Anolis sagrei: one gene and its partner. The protein of the gene in region 1 interacts with the protein of each later gene in a pairwise test. Links are inferred from orthologs where the notes say so. Each region holds a gene or a part of one and is shown on either strand. Other genes may lie near its edges.

What was found.
Region 2: the proteins of MGAT5B (region 1) and PITX1 interact in a two-hybrid assay, tested with the Homo sapiens proteins (2 studies listed by BioGRID). The link is inferred for Anolis sagrei from reciprocal best matches to the Homo sapiens genes MGAT5B and PITX1.

The regions. Positions count from the first base shown.
Region 1 is NC_090022.1:120,077,797-120,085,502, reverse strand, and holds the start of MGAT5B (alpha-1,6-mannosylglycoprotein 6-beta-N-acetylglucosaminyltransferase B), read right to left. Parts: upstream 3,007-7,706; 5' UTR 2,258-3,006; coding exon 2,190-2,257; intron 1-2,189. UniProt on the Homo sapiens protein: Glycosyltransferase that acts on alpha-linked mannose of N-glycans and O-mannosyl glycans.
Region 2 is NC_090022.1:91,207,711-91,214,849, forward strand, and holds the start of PITX1 (pituitary homeobox 1), read left to right. Parts: upstream 1-4,127; 5' UTR 4,128-4,383; intron 4,384-7,139. UniProt on the Homo sapiens protein: Sequence-specific transcription factor that binds gene promoters and activates their transcription. May play a role in the development of anterior structures, and in particular, the brain and facies and in specifying the identity or structure of hindlimb.

The DNA of each region.
Region 1 (7,706 bases):
AATTGATCCCAGAGGAGCCTTCTAGTCACTTCCAGGTCTGATTATTTATTTATTTGGCATTTTAACACTCCATGTGGCCCCAAGACTGTCCCCAGGGGACCCACCATAACTGGCTGCCCTAAATTCAAATAAACCCATAAGAGAACAAAACAGAAACAAGGAAACTTACATGACATGTAGAAATAGCTGGGCATTTGCCTGGTACCCCAGAACTGGCAGTTGACACCTGCCTGAGGAAAACGTTCCAGGTAGCCACAGCTAAAAAGACAGTTTTAGCCTTATGGCCAAACTTACATCAAATAAACATAATTGGTTTAGCATGAGCTCAGGCTTAGATTCCCCCATTTATAGATTCTCTGGCTGGGTAGCTTCAAATGGGCAATTTTTGGTGGGGAAAAGCAGGGTGCAGAAAAGGACTAAACATCTTGTCCCTTTAGCACCATTTCCCCACTACAAAAAAAATGGTTTGCTGTTGCTATTGCTTTTACAAACAGAAATTCAAAATGTTTTAAGTATAATCGAGCTGTAAAATGGATTTGAATGTTATCAACACACCAACAAACATGAGTCTCCTTCATCATGTCTCATTTGGGCAATGGTACCACAGGTCAATGAAACTTACTTCCAAGAAGACAAAGATAAGAGCTTGGAATAGTCACTTCCATGGACTACAGCAAGATCCTAAGTTAGAAACATCCGGCTTACAAATGATTCATAATTAATAGTTGAGCTGAGACCACAGGAAGTGAAAAAAATCCACCCCTAGGAAAGGAAATTCACTCCTGGAAGAGTCATCATGAAGCTTTCTTACCAATCCTTGTTTCCATAACAAGCCAAATATTGCAAAATTCAATGATAACAGGGACAGAAAGTGAAGTGAATTTTTTTTGAACTGAAACACAGGCAGCAAAACAAACACCACAGGGGTGTTAACCCTTCCCTATGCTACCCAAAGTATGCACGCGCACACACACACACACACACACATATAGAGAGAGAGAGACTTACACTTAAAAATATACCTGTCTCAACTTACATACAAATTCAACTAAAGAACAAACCTACAGAAATGATCATGTGTGTAACTTGGGGACTACCTGTATAACTCTCAGAAAAACATAAGCCCATGCCAAAATGGCCAGTGGCCACGCTGCTTAGGAAACTTTGAGAGTTGTAATACAAAACAATAACTTTTCCATTTACTCCTATTGGAAATCACTACCTTCTGTCTGCATTTTTATTTACTGTCTATGGCTATTTCTTAAACTGGGAACCTACTTATAGTGGGAAACTATGATACTATAACGGCACTCCATGCAGTCATGCCGGCCACATGACCTTGGAGGTGTCTACAGACAACACCAGCTCTTCGGCTTAGAAATGGAGATGAGCACCACACCCCAGAGTCAGACATGACTGGACTTAATGTCAGGGGACAACCTTTACCTTAAGATACTATAAAATGAGAAGCAGCTGTGACTTACTCTCATGTTATCTTCACCAATGGTTTGATCCTTAAATCAATCTGAGTTGGCCTATTAGACCACTTCACCATCACAGCCTTCCCCATGTGAACACTACCTTAGAACATACACAGACTACAATAGTAAACTGGAGTCATGCAAGCAATTTCTTTTGTGAGGGGAAAACCATAACCAGTGGTTCTCAACCTGTGGGTCCCCAGATATTTTGTCCTTCTACTTCCAGAAATCCCAGCCAATTTACCAGCTGTTGGGATTTCTGGGAGTTGAAGGCCAAAACATCTGGGGACCCACAGGTTGAATATAGCAGCAAGGAGAAACTGAAATTCCTGGAACCCATTGAGAATGGAAGCAGTATGGACCTGGAGTTATTTTATGGAGAGCAGTTAACTTAGAACAATGTATCTAAGGTGCATTTACAAGATTTAAAAAACCACATAAACCTCTTATCTACAAGTCTCAACATGAAATAGTAACTATTTACTCCAAGAAACTAGCCCTCAGCAATTCCAGCAGGATGCCACCACGGCAAGGCATTCAACCACCTACGTTCAGGTGAAGTCAAAACAAACCCACTTCTTTTACAGACTTCAAATGAGCTCTCTCCCCTTAGGCAACAAAAGGTTGGCACACATCACACAATAAGGAAGTTTTCTCCATTTCCTTCCAAGCTCTACATCAGCGTGAAGCAAAACAGGAGAACTTTACCTAAAAGGCTTTAGGGTGACAAGACATCTTCTGACCATTATTTTCCCATCTGAATTCACTGTAATCATTGTTCAAACTTTGTTTCAGAAAAAAATTAAAAACACAGCCAGTATTTCATGAGTCTGACCACAGTTATTTCAAAGAGTACATAGCTGGAGACTCTCAGCAACACGTGAAGAAAAGGAATATCAAATTTGCACAATAAATCCACATAAATAAAGCAAATGAGATCTTCGTTTCCCTCCTGGGCAGTCTGCTTGTGTGGTTTTTCTCTTAATGGATTTCAGCTGTAGGAGAAACAGGTATGAGCAAAGACAGAAGATGACTGAATGGTGTAGTATTGGCTTTAGTCACATTTTGGAAGCAAATTGAAGCAAACACAACACCCCTTTTCTCCAGATATTAAATCCTCAATTCAGGTGAAAAATGCCTGGGTTCAGAGACTCCTCTATGGGTGAGATCCTTCATCCCAGCCAGTTACTTCCTTCTCTCTCTTTCAGCATACACCTCAATTGAACCCCCACAGCAAACGTTTGCTCCTTTCCTTCTCCAGGCGAGCTTCAGCACTGCCAGGTAGATGCCATTTCCAGGGCTTATTTCCTCGTTGAGAGCAGACTCCCAGTCACAGCCGGAGATACAGTGGTTAAAGGGCACAGCTCCTCCATCCCGGTCCAACAACTGCCTCGCATCTTCTTGGCCAGCCAAAACATTCTGCTTTAACCTTGTGAACGGGCTGCATTGTTTCTATCGGGGAAGGATGCACTGCTCAGAGTCAGGATTCGGTGGAGGAGGAGAAGCAGCATCAGCTTCCTTGTGCAATATGAATTGGATGCCATCTAGTGGGAACGGTTGGGATCATCTGTTGCATTTGGCTTTTAGTGCTGCAAAAGAGGAGCTGTCCAAGAGCTGAGAAGCAGAGCACACCTGAAAGCCATTTCCTGGGCCTGCACAGCCTGCCTTAGCCCAGTGTTTCTCAACCTGTGGGTCCCCAGATATTTTGGCCTTCAACTCCCAGAAATCTTAACAGTTGGTAAACTGGCTGAGATTTCTGGAAGTTGTAGGCCAAAACACCTGGGGACCTACAGGTTGAGAACCGCTGCCTTTGTACAAGAACGGGAATCAGCATTTGTTAATTTTGCTGAACTACAATACCCAGAAACCCTAGCCAGCCTAGTCAATTCTATTTCTCAGAATATCAGGGCAGAAAATCCCACAATATCTATTGTGAACTGATAGTCCACACTCAAATAATGTGGGATTTTCTACCTTGATATTCTGGGATATAGGGCTGTGTGGAAGGGCCCAAGAGAGCCTCATCCCTGCTTGTCTTTCATAGGCAGGTGAAAATGTATCTCTGCCATCAGGCATTTAGGGAAAGGTGAGGGGCAGGCTGCTGGGAATGGTGTGAGTGGGATTTGGGGAGAGGGTGCTATGTAGTTTTTATGGTATTTTAATTGTATTTTAATTTATATGCCTCATGACACAAAATATTTAATTGGTTTATCTTTTATATTCATATTTTAATACATTAGCTTTATTTTTAGTTTACATTGCATCATGTTTGCTGTTAACCACCTTGAGTCCTTATGCTGAAATAAAAATGCAGTCAATAAATAAGTGCATAAACTTCCCTGCGGAGGGTAGAATCCTTATCTGGGAGGCAAGGCACTCATTTTCCACTCTTTCACAGCTATAACTCTCAGTCAGGCCTCTTCCCTTCCCAGATGGCACTCAGGCATGCCTACAACAGCACAATTAAGGGCTCCAGTATTGTCAAGCTATTTTGACAGAAGCAGTGTGTATGTAGTGAGCCAGGCCTTGCAGGGCTGAAAGTCCATCAGGGACCATGGCATCACCTGATCCTTTCCACATCTGTATTTGGATTTTGCTCTTTCCTCTGAGCTAAACTGGGCTGTGAGGGGAAAACATTGATTTCCCTAGCAAAAATCTATTGTTGTGAGCCACTTTTGCTCTAATGTAAGCCTTTTATTGCCACTTTCTCTGGAACCATTAAATGTTAAGACCTTTACAAAAGACCACCTAATGGGAAGGCAAACTGGGGGAACTGGCTCATTGGGATGGATCAATATAACTGCTTGCATTCTGGGACTCTCCTTGGAGAACCCAGAGGGACTGTCATCATAAGAATCTACCACATTTCAGAATGTGCATATATGCCACCCTTGACATTAGATCCATCTCTCCTTCTCATGCACACAGCTCACGTCCTGAGTGAGGATAGATCGGTTCCTCCCAATTATTTTCAGTTTCAAATCCTTCCTTTTTCTCCTTTCAGCTGTCCTGAGCAAAGAAATGTTGTAGTTCACAAAACCTTGATTAGCCATTGAATGTGAACTGAGGAATGTTGCATGCAAATTGATTTCTATTAAGGGCACTCGGGCTCTGATGGCAGTTCCAAAACCTTTCAAGGATGTCCACAGCTCACAATAGCACACCAGACAGAAGGAAGGAGCGTTTGTTCAGTATGATCCTATAGGCTTTTACTTACCTGTCAGTGGTAGCACTGCAAAAATGTTTCAGGTAAGGAGACAAAGGAAGGATAACATATATTTGGTAAGCTTCCCTCCTCATTGGCAACAAATACAATTTATATTTTTAAAAATAAATAAGCTGAAAAGTCTGCAAAAGCAAGGGAGGTTTGGAAGACACATACAGCCCACATGTTTCACTTTCTTGCTCCAACATACTCACATGGCAATGCATGGATGCATTTGTATTCCCCATGTGATAGTGCCCTTCCTCCAAGTAATAAGGATTCCAGAACCTCTTATTCCTGCCTCGGATATTATAAACTGTATGCTTCTTATTTGGGATGCCATGAAAACAAGTTAATCATCACTGATTCACTTGCTTCCTTTGCCCTGTTTGCTCATCTATTCATACAGAGATGGGGCCTTGTATCAAGAAACTGAGTACTGAGTACTGAGTACTGAGATTTATATCTCAGTACTCCAGATAAAATCTCTGAATTAAAGAGAGGGGACATGTTTGCCATGTTTAAATATTTGAAAGGGTGTGACAATATATTATTATTATTATTATTCAGTGCATTGAATTTTTAGAAGAAATCTGGTGTATTATTGCTGTCGTCAGTTACATATTGTGAACTTGGGCAATAGTTGATGCCACCTAGTAACTTATACACCAGTTAAAACCTTGACATGGTTCACTTTCAAATAACCTGCATTTTTTTAAAAATCATTCATGCAAGTGGTGGCTGGTGGCTGACACCTCAGCAGGGCAGTTAATCTAGTTACGGTCTCCCATTCCACTACATAATTATAGTATTACAATTCTACTTTAGATGCCATGGTATCATCCTATGAAACAGTAGAATTTGTAGATTGGAGATTCACTAGAGCACTTTGTAACATAATTTTCCCTAAACTACAAATCCCAGAATTTCTCAGGATATTGCTGTAATAATTAAAGTAAAAACACACCCTTAAGACAGGGTAGTAGGAAAAATGATCCAGGTTTCAGTTCATGAGGATCTCAAAAATGCTGACTTTTTTTGTAGATAGGATTCAACTTTCTGGATAGCTCCACTGACACTTGAGCAACAACCAGCATTTAGTTTTCCACTGTTGTTAACTACTATCAAGATGGCTTTCATTTGTGCTGGCTCCATGAATGGCAGACCTTCAAGTTAGGCTATCATCAACAGACTGTGCGGGTCTTGCAGACTGAGGGCAGCCATTACTTCTGTAATTCAGTTTATCCCTCTAAAATGTGGTTTTCCTCTTTTCCTACTGCTCTACATGCTATGGTGCCATTGAAGGTGAAATATTGCCTTTAGCACATAAAATTCTTTTTTTTTTTTTTTTGCATCAGCCCTTGATGTTTTCTCCCTTATTTTTTCCTTGGTATTATGCACCCTGTTTTGTTTTCAGGGTTCAGCTAGCAATGACCCTTTTCACAATATTCAGTCTGAATACCTAGTCCCTTAGTATCAAAAATTTTATCAGTTTTTCTTTATACAGAACTTCCAAGTTGTGATGTATGAGTATGAAGGAAAACCTGAAAACAGTTTTTGTTTTGTTTTGGGTTTTTTTTTTTTGTTTGGAAATTAAAGGACTGGGACTTTTTGGCAGAGCTTACCAGAGAAGGAGGGAGAGGGAGGAGATGCAATTGGCTTACATTAAAACAGATAGGACCTTCTCAAATATCTGAAAAGTAGCCTCTACTTTCAAACAACATAAAGAATCAAAACAGCCATTAAAGAAACTCCCTGGAGCAGCAGCTGAAGGGCAAGAAAAGTTGAGGGATGTGTTAATGGAGACATTTGACAGGCTCTGCTGGAAAGAAACACTTTGGGTTTGTGATAGTGAGCCCATCTCCCCCCTGCTGGGAGCAGGCCATGCCAGGATATCCTTCCTCCTTCGTGCCAGAGAGGAGTGAGTTCTCACTGCTGTGAAGGAGCTAGGAGCATGAATAAGGCATCCATCCCTGACAATTAGCAACTCTAACCATCATTGCTCTGGACCAGATCTTTCAGATTGCTCAATAATTTCACAAGTGAGGCAATGAAACCCTTCCTATTAGGTGTGAGAAAGTTCTCTGTCTTCAACCAAGCACATTCAAAGGCTGAAATCCAATAAAAGCCTAGCAGGGACAAAGTCCCAATTAGCTCAGGATGGTTTACCTTTCAGCATTTATTTATTTATCATGTAAGAAGCAAATTGAGAGTACAGTTGTAATGTATTTAAAAACCCAAACAACGTTTTAAAAACTTGGCAATACACTAAATGTCCTTTGGCCAATAGCTGACCTCTGGTGTGCCTCTGGTGTTGCTATAAGAAGGTCCTTCATTGTGCATGTGGCAGGGCCCACATTGTAATAGGTGGTCTGCATTGTAATAGGTGGTCTGTGATTTGCTCTTCTCCACACCCACGGGTTGTGGATTCCACTTTGTAGCCCCATTTCTTAAGGCTGGCTCTGCATCTCAGGGTGCCAGAGTGCAGTCTGTTCAGCACCTTCCAAGTCAGCAGATATACTGGTTATAGGGCAATGTACTATATAAGTGGAGCCAGCATGGCAGAGTGGTTTGAGTGTTGGGACTATGACTCTGGAGAACAGGTTGAGCAAGATTGGAGAATGATGAGAAGGTGTCCAAAGAAGAATGGTTATAACTCAACATTGTGAATAGTGATTATTAAAGGAATGGCTAGTAATACGCAGAGAAGCTACATAAGGTGAAACTGCATAACATTATTCTCATATCTCTCCCATTCAAATATAAAAAGTAGAGTAGGGAGAAGGTCTTACCCACACAAACACACACACCAGGCCGCATCATCCTTCCTGGAGCCATTTGCTTGCTGCTTACATCCCTCTATTTTTCACTTCATTTCCAGATGAGGTATGAATGGAGAAAAGTGAAAGAGGGCATGTATTTGCCACAATAACATCTTGTTTGGCCATCACAAGCATAGCACTAAAACAGATTGAGGAACATAGCAAAACATGTCACTCATAGATTTCTGAAATGTGTGC
Region 2 (7,139 bases), about 29 Mb from region 1:
AAATCCATGGGATGGGGTGAGCTCCTTCTGTTAGTCCCAGCTTCTGCCATCCCAGCAGTTCAAAAACATGCAAATGTGAGTAGATCAACAGGCACAGCTTCAATAGGGAAGGTAACAGTGCTCCAGTCATGCTAGCCACATGACCTACTGACAACGCTGGCTCTTCAGCTAAGAAATTGAGATATTCATCACCCCCCAGAGTCGGACTCAACTAGACTTAATGTCAAGGAGAAACCTTTACCCTAAACTTTTATGTATTTTATATCATAACAACTTCCTTTCCACCATTTCATTCTATATATTTATTTTGCTGCTTCAATATAATTTATTACTTGTTAGGGTAAAACTGCAGTTGGTAGTCATTCAAGTTCATTTAAATCAGTGTTTCTCAACCTGGGGGTCTGGATCCCTGGGGGGTGTCAGAGGGGTCACCAAAGACCATTGAAAACACAGTATTTTTCTGTTGGTCATGGGGGTTCTGTGTGGGAAGTTTGGCCCAATTCTATCGTTGGTGGATTTCAGAATGCTCTTTGATTGTAGGTGAATTGTAAATCCCATCAACTACAACTACCAAGATCTATTTTCCCCAAACTCCATCAGTATTCACATTTGGGCATTTTGAGTATTCGTGCCAAGTTTGGTCCAGATCCATCATCGTTTGAGTCCACAATGCTCTCTGGATGTAGGTAAACTACAATGTGTACAGAACTGCCTTCTAAAACTCATTTTCATCCTACTACTAAGCATTGCCAGCCGCCTTAACTTCATTTTTTTGAAGTCAGTTTAAATTTATAATTTCTCGGCTGAGTGCAGACCACTGAAATAATATCTCTAATGTAAATCCATTAGAATGGTGGAGGTTTCTTTTTATTATTATTATTGATATTTCTTTTTAAAAAAGGACAATTGCACACATGGTGGAGGTTTCTAATTAAATTTTTATCTAACTAATTCATCATCATATTACTAAATTACGAATGTAGTATCACTAATGTTCCAGTATTTTAGCATACACACTGAATCCAGTTGGATTAGTGGAAGGGCTCAGTCTCCACATGATGGAGCTGTATGGAGAGCATACTTTGAACAGATCTGCTGAAAGCAGTGGAATTCAGGCTAGTGATGACTGATTTAAATCCCATTTATTTCAAAGGGAATATTAGAAGCATGGTTAAATGGATTTTGGTTGCTGAAACGGGTATCTGTTTAACCAGTCTGTAGGCTATCTGCATAATGGTCAACACAGTGACTCTGGTGGTAATAATATAATTGTTTGAAATCCATTTTTAATTAAATGACTTGTAGACAAGATTAGTCCTTGGATAATTTAGCTTGGCATACATTCCTAAACATGTTTACTCCAAAATTAATCTCACTGAGTTCAGTGGGGCCACTGCCTAGCAAATACTTAGGATCTGTGTGTACTATTAGCCTATAGGCTCTGGCAATGGATAAGAACAACCAAACCAAAAATGGCTTGGATGTGCAACTTTGTTCTCAAATTCATTACAAATCCAAAACTCAAAATGGAACCATATCTTTATGAGAATTAATCAGATTGTGTGCAAGCTTTGGAGGTCCCACAAGTGCACTTGGCGGGGACGAGACAGAACCTTCTTGGCGGTGGCCCCACGCCTGTGGAACCCGCTCCCCAGCGAGATCAGGTTGGCATCTTCCCTCCTTTCTTTCAGAAAGAAGGTTAAATCATGGTTCCAGGACCAGGCCTTTGGACAGCAAGAATGACAGCACTTTAGATGTTGAATCAGACTGGAATTGGCAATATGGATTGATGACAAAGTTTTTTATGTGTTTTTAACTTAATGTTCTATTTACTCTTTTAAACTGTTGTTATATTTGTTTATATCTGTATTATCTTGTGCCATCAAATTGTTGCCGGTGTAAGCCGCCCTGAGTTCCCCCTTGGGGGTTGAAAAGGGCGGATTAGAAATGTGGGAAATAAATAAATAAATAATTTTTTTTGGATTGTATAGCCATATTCTGGAAGCTTTCTCTCCTGACATTTCTCTCCTGTCATCTATGACAGGAATGGGGAGAGAATCAGGGCAAATCAGGGCAGACCTATGGCCATCAGGCACAGGAAACTTCTAGTCTTGATCCTTTTGATTCCTCCCCCATCTCCCCAAACTCCCCAAAATCCTAAATCTGGGGAAACTAAAGGGTGTGGTATTTACATACAAAACAGAAGTCTGCTATTCCTTCCATCAGCTTAGAAGCAATACTTTGAACAAGAAAGACCATGTGGATTGGGTTTTCAAAGGCAATGCCAAGTTAAAGGGACAATGCCATGTTCCAGAAGCATTCTCTTCTGACATTTCGCCCACATCTATGGCAGGCATCCTCAGAGATTGTGAGGTCTGTTGGAAACTAGGCAAGTGGGGTTTATATATCTGTGGAATGTCCAGGGTGGGAGAAAGAACTCTTGTCTGTTAGAGGCAAGTGTGAATGTTGCAATGGGCGAACTCTATTAGCATTGAATGGCCTTGCAGCTTCAAAGAACAAATACAGTTTGACACCACTTGAACCACCATGGCTCAATGCTATGGAATGGCGGGGGTACCAAACAATACGTCTCACACTTCCATAGAATTGAGCCATGGCAGTCAAACCACATTCACTCTACAGCAGGCATGGGCCAACTTCGGCCCTCTGGGTGTTTTGAACTTCAACTCCAACAATTCCTAACAGCTGTTAGGAATGTATTGTTGAAGGCTCTCATGGCTGGAATCACTGGGTGGTTGTAAGTTTTCTGGGCTGTAGGGCCATGTTCTAGAAGTTTTCTCTCCTGACATTTTGCCTGCATCTACGGCAGACATCTTCAAATGGCGTTTATATATCTGTGGAATGTCCAAGGTGGGAGAAAGATCTCTTGTCTGCTTGAGGCAATGTGAATGTTTCAATTGGACACCTTGATTAGCATTTAATGGCCTAGCACTTTCAAGGTGTGGCTTCTTACTTCCTGGGGGAATCCTTTGTTGAGAGATGATTAGCTGTCCATGATTGTTTCTTGTCTGGAGCTCCCCTGTTTTTGAATGTTGTTTATTTATTTATTCTTTATTTACTGTTACAATTTTGGAGTTTTAAATAATGGTAGCCAGATTTTGTTCATTTTCATGGTTTCTTCCTTTGAACTTGTCCACATGCTTATGGATTTCAGTGGCTTCTCTGTGTAGTCTGATATGGCAGTTATTAGAGTGGTCCAGTATTTCTGTGTCCAGGTTGGTTCATCAGGTGCTCTGCTATGGCTGACTTCTCTGGTTGAGCGAGTCTGCAGTGCCTTTCGTGTTCCTTGATTCATGTTTGGGGCTGCCTACTGGTTTTAGGGATCGTGGGAGTTCAAGTCCAAAACACCTGGAGGACCGAAGTTGGCTCGGGCCTGATCTAGAGTGTGGGTGCAGCTTCGTGGAGTCCAGGGCTCCTCTGGAAGGAAATGAACCTAGCGAAGAGCGGGGGAGGGGGGGTGTGCATCGGAGCCTCTCTGCTCTTCCTTCTCAGTGGGAATGAAATCCCAGGCCTCTCCTCCCAGTCCTCGCCCATTAGGCCTCAGTAGATGGCAAGCCCTTGCTCTGTTGAGAGAGACGGGAGGTCGCCCTCCCCTCCCATTTCCCTTGTTCGCCAGGTCCCTGCGCCTCTTCCTGGCCTCGGGAAGGGGATGCTAATGGGGCTGTCCCTGGCCATGGCGAGGCAAGGGGGGGGGGGCCGGGGGGCGCCCCGAGGGGAAAGGAAGCCGGGCAGCCAATTTGTAGCCCGGGCTGCGATGGAGAGGGGGCTTGATTGGGAAGAGAGAGGAGGCCGAGTGGAGGAGAGCAGAGGAGCGCAAGGCGAGGGGCGCGCGCTCTTGGAAAGCGGCAGGCCGCGCGCAGAGGGAGGCCGTCGGGATGCTCCGAGGCCAACCTGCCTGCCTCCCCTTGCTTTCCCAGCTCGCGAGAGGGCGGGGGCACTCCGCGCGCCCAGGCCTGCCCTCGCCTTTGCCCCTTCCCCACTCGCACGCGCTGAGAAAACCCGCCCCGGTTTCCTGACTCGACGGCGTCGCGGTGCCAGGGGGAGTGACGTCAGAAGCGGCTCTCCGCCGGGGAAAAGCCCAGGGCCCCGTCCCGCCCCCGCCGCCGCGCACAGAGCACCACGGACCTGCTCCACGCCCTACGCCGGGGCCAAAGGGCCACCCTCCACGGCTGGGCACCCAAAGACACCCGAACGTCTTCAAAGCCTGCAAAAGCCTCGGGGGGCCCATGGAGCCCACTCTGGGCGCTCGCTGAGAAAAGACCACTTTTCCCCCGGCGTGGCCCTTATCCGCCCATCTCGGCCGGGACCCGCGAAGGAGGCTAGGGTAAGCCACGCGCGTCTCTCGGACTCAAGACCTGAGGGGTGAGTGGGAAGCGTGTGGTGGGGGGGGGGTCCTTCCAGCCCTGTCCTCCAAGCCCAGAGAGCGCGCGATACGGCTCCCTCGAGGGTGCGGGCGGGAGGCCGCGGGGGAAACAGGCTCCCGCGTGACTCCCCAGCATCCCCGTCTCGGACAGGAAGCCCCCTTCTCTCTCTCTTCCTGGTCACTCCCCTCACACACACACACACACACCCTGAACCTTCCGCCTCAGCCCTAGAGGGCAGTGCCCCGTCCCCCACTTCGAGGGGGTGAGCCTTCTTATCCATCTCCTGCCAAGAACCGGGGAAATCCTTTTCTACTTCCTCTCCTTCCTTTTGCTCTTCTTCTTTTCCTCCGCTTCGTTTACTTTTTCTTCTTCTTCTTGTCCTTCATATTCTTCCTTCTCTTCTTTTCAGATCTTTTTTTTTCTTCCTCCTCTTCTTGCCCCTCCTCCCTTTATTCCTCTTGGTCTGCCTCCTTCCCTTCCTCTTCTTCATCCGTTACTTTTTTTTCCCTCTCCCGATTCCTTCTTTTTTTTTAGTTTTCATTGTCATCCTCCTTCCTTTCTTCTTCTTCACTAATTTATTTTCTCCCCCTCCTCTTCTTTCTCTGCTTTTCCGTTTTCTTCTCTCTTTTTTTTCTTCGTTTGCTTTTCCCCCCTCCTTTTCCTATCTGTCCTCTTTTCTGTTTTCTTTCTCTTTTCCGTCCTCATTTTCTTTTTCTTCCTCCTCCTATTCCGCTTCTTGTTAGTGTTTTCTTTTTTTCTTTTCTACTTTCACTTCTCTGAATTCCTCTTCTTTGTCTTCCATCTTTTTCCTTCTCCTCTTTTTCATTTTCTTTTTCTTCCTCTTCTTCCTCCTCCTTTTCTTCTTCATTTTCTGCCTCTTCGCGTCATCCTTTTCTTTTTTCTTCATCCACTTCCTTCTCATCCTTTTCTTTATATATTTTTATTTTCTTCCTCTTCTTCATCAATTTCTCTTCCTTCCCCCTATTCTTATTCTTCCTCTTCCTTTTCTTCGTCCATTTCTTTTTCTTCCCCTTTTTCCTATTTGTCCTCTTTTTTCTTCCGCTTCTTCCTTATTTCCTTTATATTTTTCATTTTCTTTCTCCTCTTCGTCACTTTTTTTTCCTTCCTCGTTTTTCTTTCTCCTCTTCCTTTTTTCTTTCTATTTTTTCCTATTCTTTCTCCTCTTCACTACTTTGTTTTCCTTCCTCCTCTTCCCCTTCCTCCTCTACTCCCTCTTCTTCATCAATTTCTTTTTCTCCTCTCCTTTCCTATTCCTCTTCTGCTTTGTTGTTCTCCTCCTTTTCCTCTTCTTCATTATCATCTTCCTCTCGGTGGTTCCAATAGGGAGTAGGGCGAGCTCCCGTCTGTCAGCTCCAACTTCTCATGAGGGGACATGAGAGAAGCCTCCCACAGGATGGTAAAACATCCGGTTTTCCCTGGGCAAGGCCCTTGCAGACGGCCAATTCTCTCACATCAGAAACGACTTGAAGCTTCTCAAGTCGCTCCAAGACCTCATCACACTAGAGAATGAATCACTTTAAATCTGGTTTCTGCTTCCTGCAGAATTCTGGGGTTTGTAATTTAGGGAGGGGCCTTTAACAGCCTCACTAAACTACAAACCCTAGAATTTTGCAGGAGGCAGTGTCTGGATTTAAAGTGGATTCATTCTCTAGTGTGATGAAGTATGAAAAAAACTTTTCTTTCTTTTTCTTCTTCTTCTTCCCTCTCTCCTCCTTCTGTGGCCCGTGGGCCTGAGTCCCCCCCCCCACATCCCCTGTTGCCCCCTCCCTCTCCCCATGCCCCCCCCCTCCTCCTTGGGTCTTCGGCGCGGCTCCCCTAATTGCGTCCCGGGCTTAGCCTTGAAGTTGCAAGTCCTTGACATCTTTATACCTTGTATAAATTCTCGAGGGCTCCTGCGCTTCGTCAAATCTGACAAATATGCCCGCAAATATCCTTCCGCGGTGAAGTGGGGGGGTGCGGCCTGGCTAGTCCTCCCGGCAGCAGAGGCCCCTCGGAGCCGGGCTCCTCTCTGGCCTGGCTGCGAAGGGAAGGGCCCCGGGCGGCGTGGGGCCGAGCCACCACAACCCTCCTCCTGCCCACCGCGGATGCGGGTGACAAGCAACGCCCCAACGCCCCTCATAAACCTTCTGTTTTTTATGGAATTCGATGTTCTTTTTATGGCCGCAGCTACTTGATCCTGAAGGCTCCGTGTGCCCAAGATCTCTCTCCCAGGGATTCCAGTCTTGCACACTTAATATTTTACAGGTGTATTTCTCTAGAGTTTATGTAACTGTCTTATGAATTATTATTATTATTATTATTATTATTATTATTCAGACGACTTTTCTGTGGTTATTTCCTTCCCGAAAATTGTATAATTTTATGATTTTTTAAAATGAGACTGAAAAAATGGTTTGATTTTTCAAAGACCTTCAAAATATTATGCTTTTAAAAAAAAATAGCCGAAATAAATATTCAATCTAACTAGGAAACTGGAAGTGAGCGTTTCAATAAAGTATATAGGAAATCAAAAATACTGGACTGGGCTATATGGCCATGTTCTAGAAGCATTTTCTCCTGACGTTTCGCCTGCATCTATGGCAAGCATCATCAGAGGTTGAGAAGTCTCTTAATTGTGGAGCCCTTAATTGTGGCTCCATAAAACACAAGACCTCACAACCTCTGAGGATGCTTGCCATAGATGGAGGCGAAACGTCAGGAGAGAATGCTTCTAGAGCATGGCCATATAGCCCG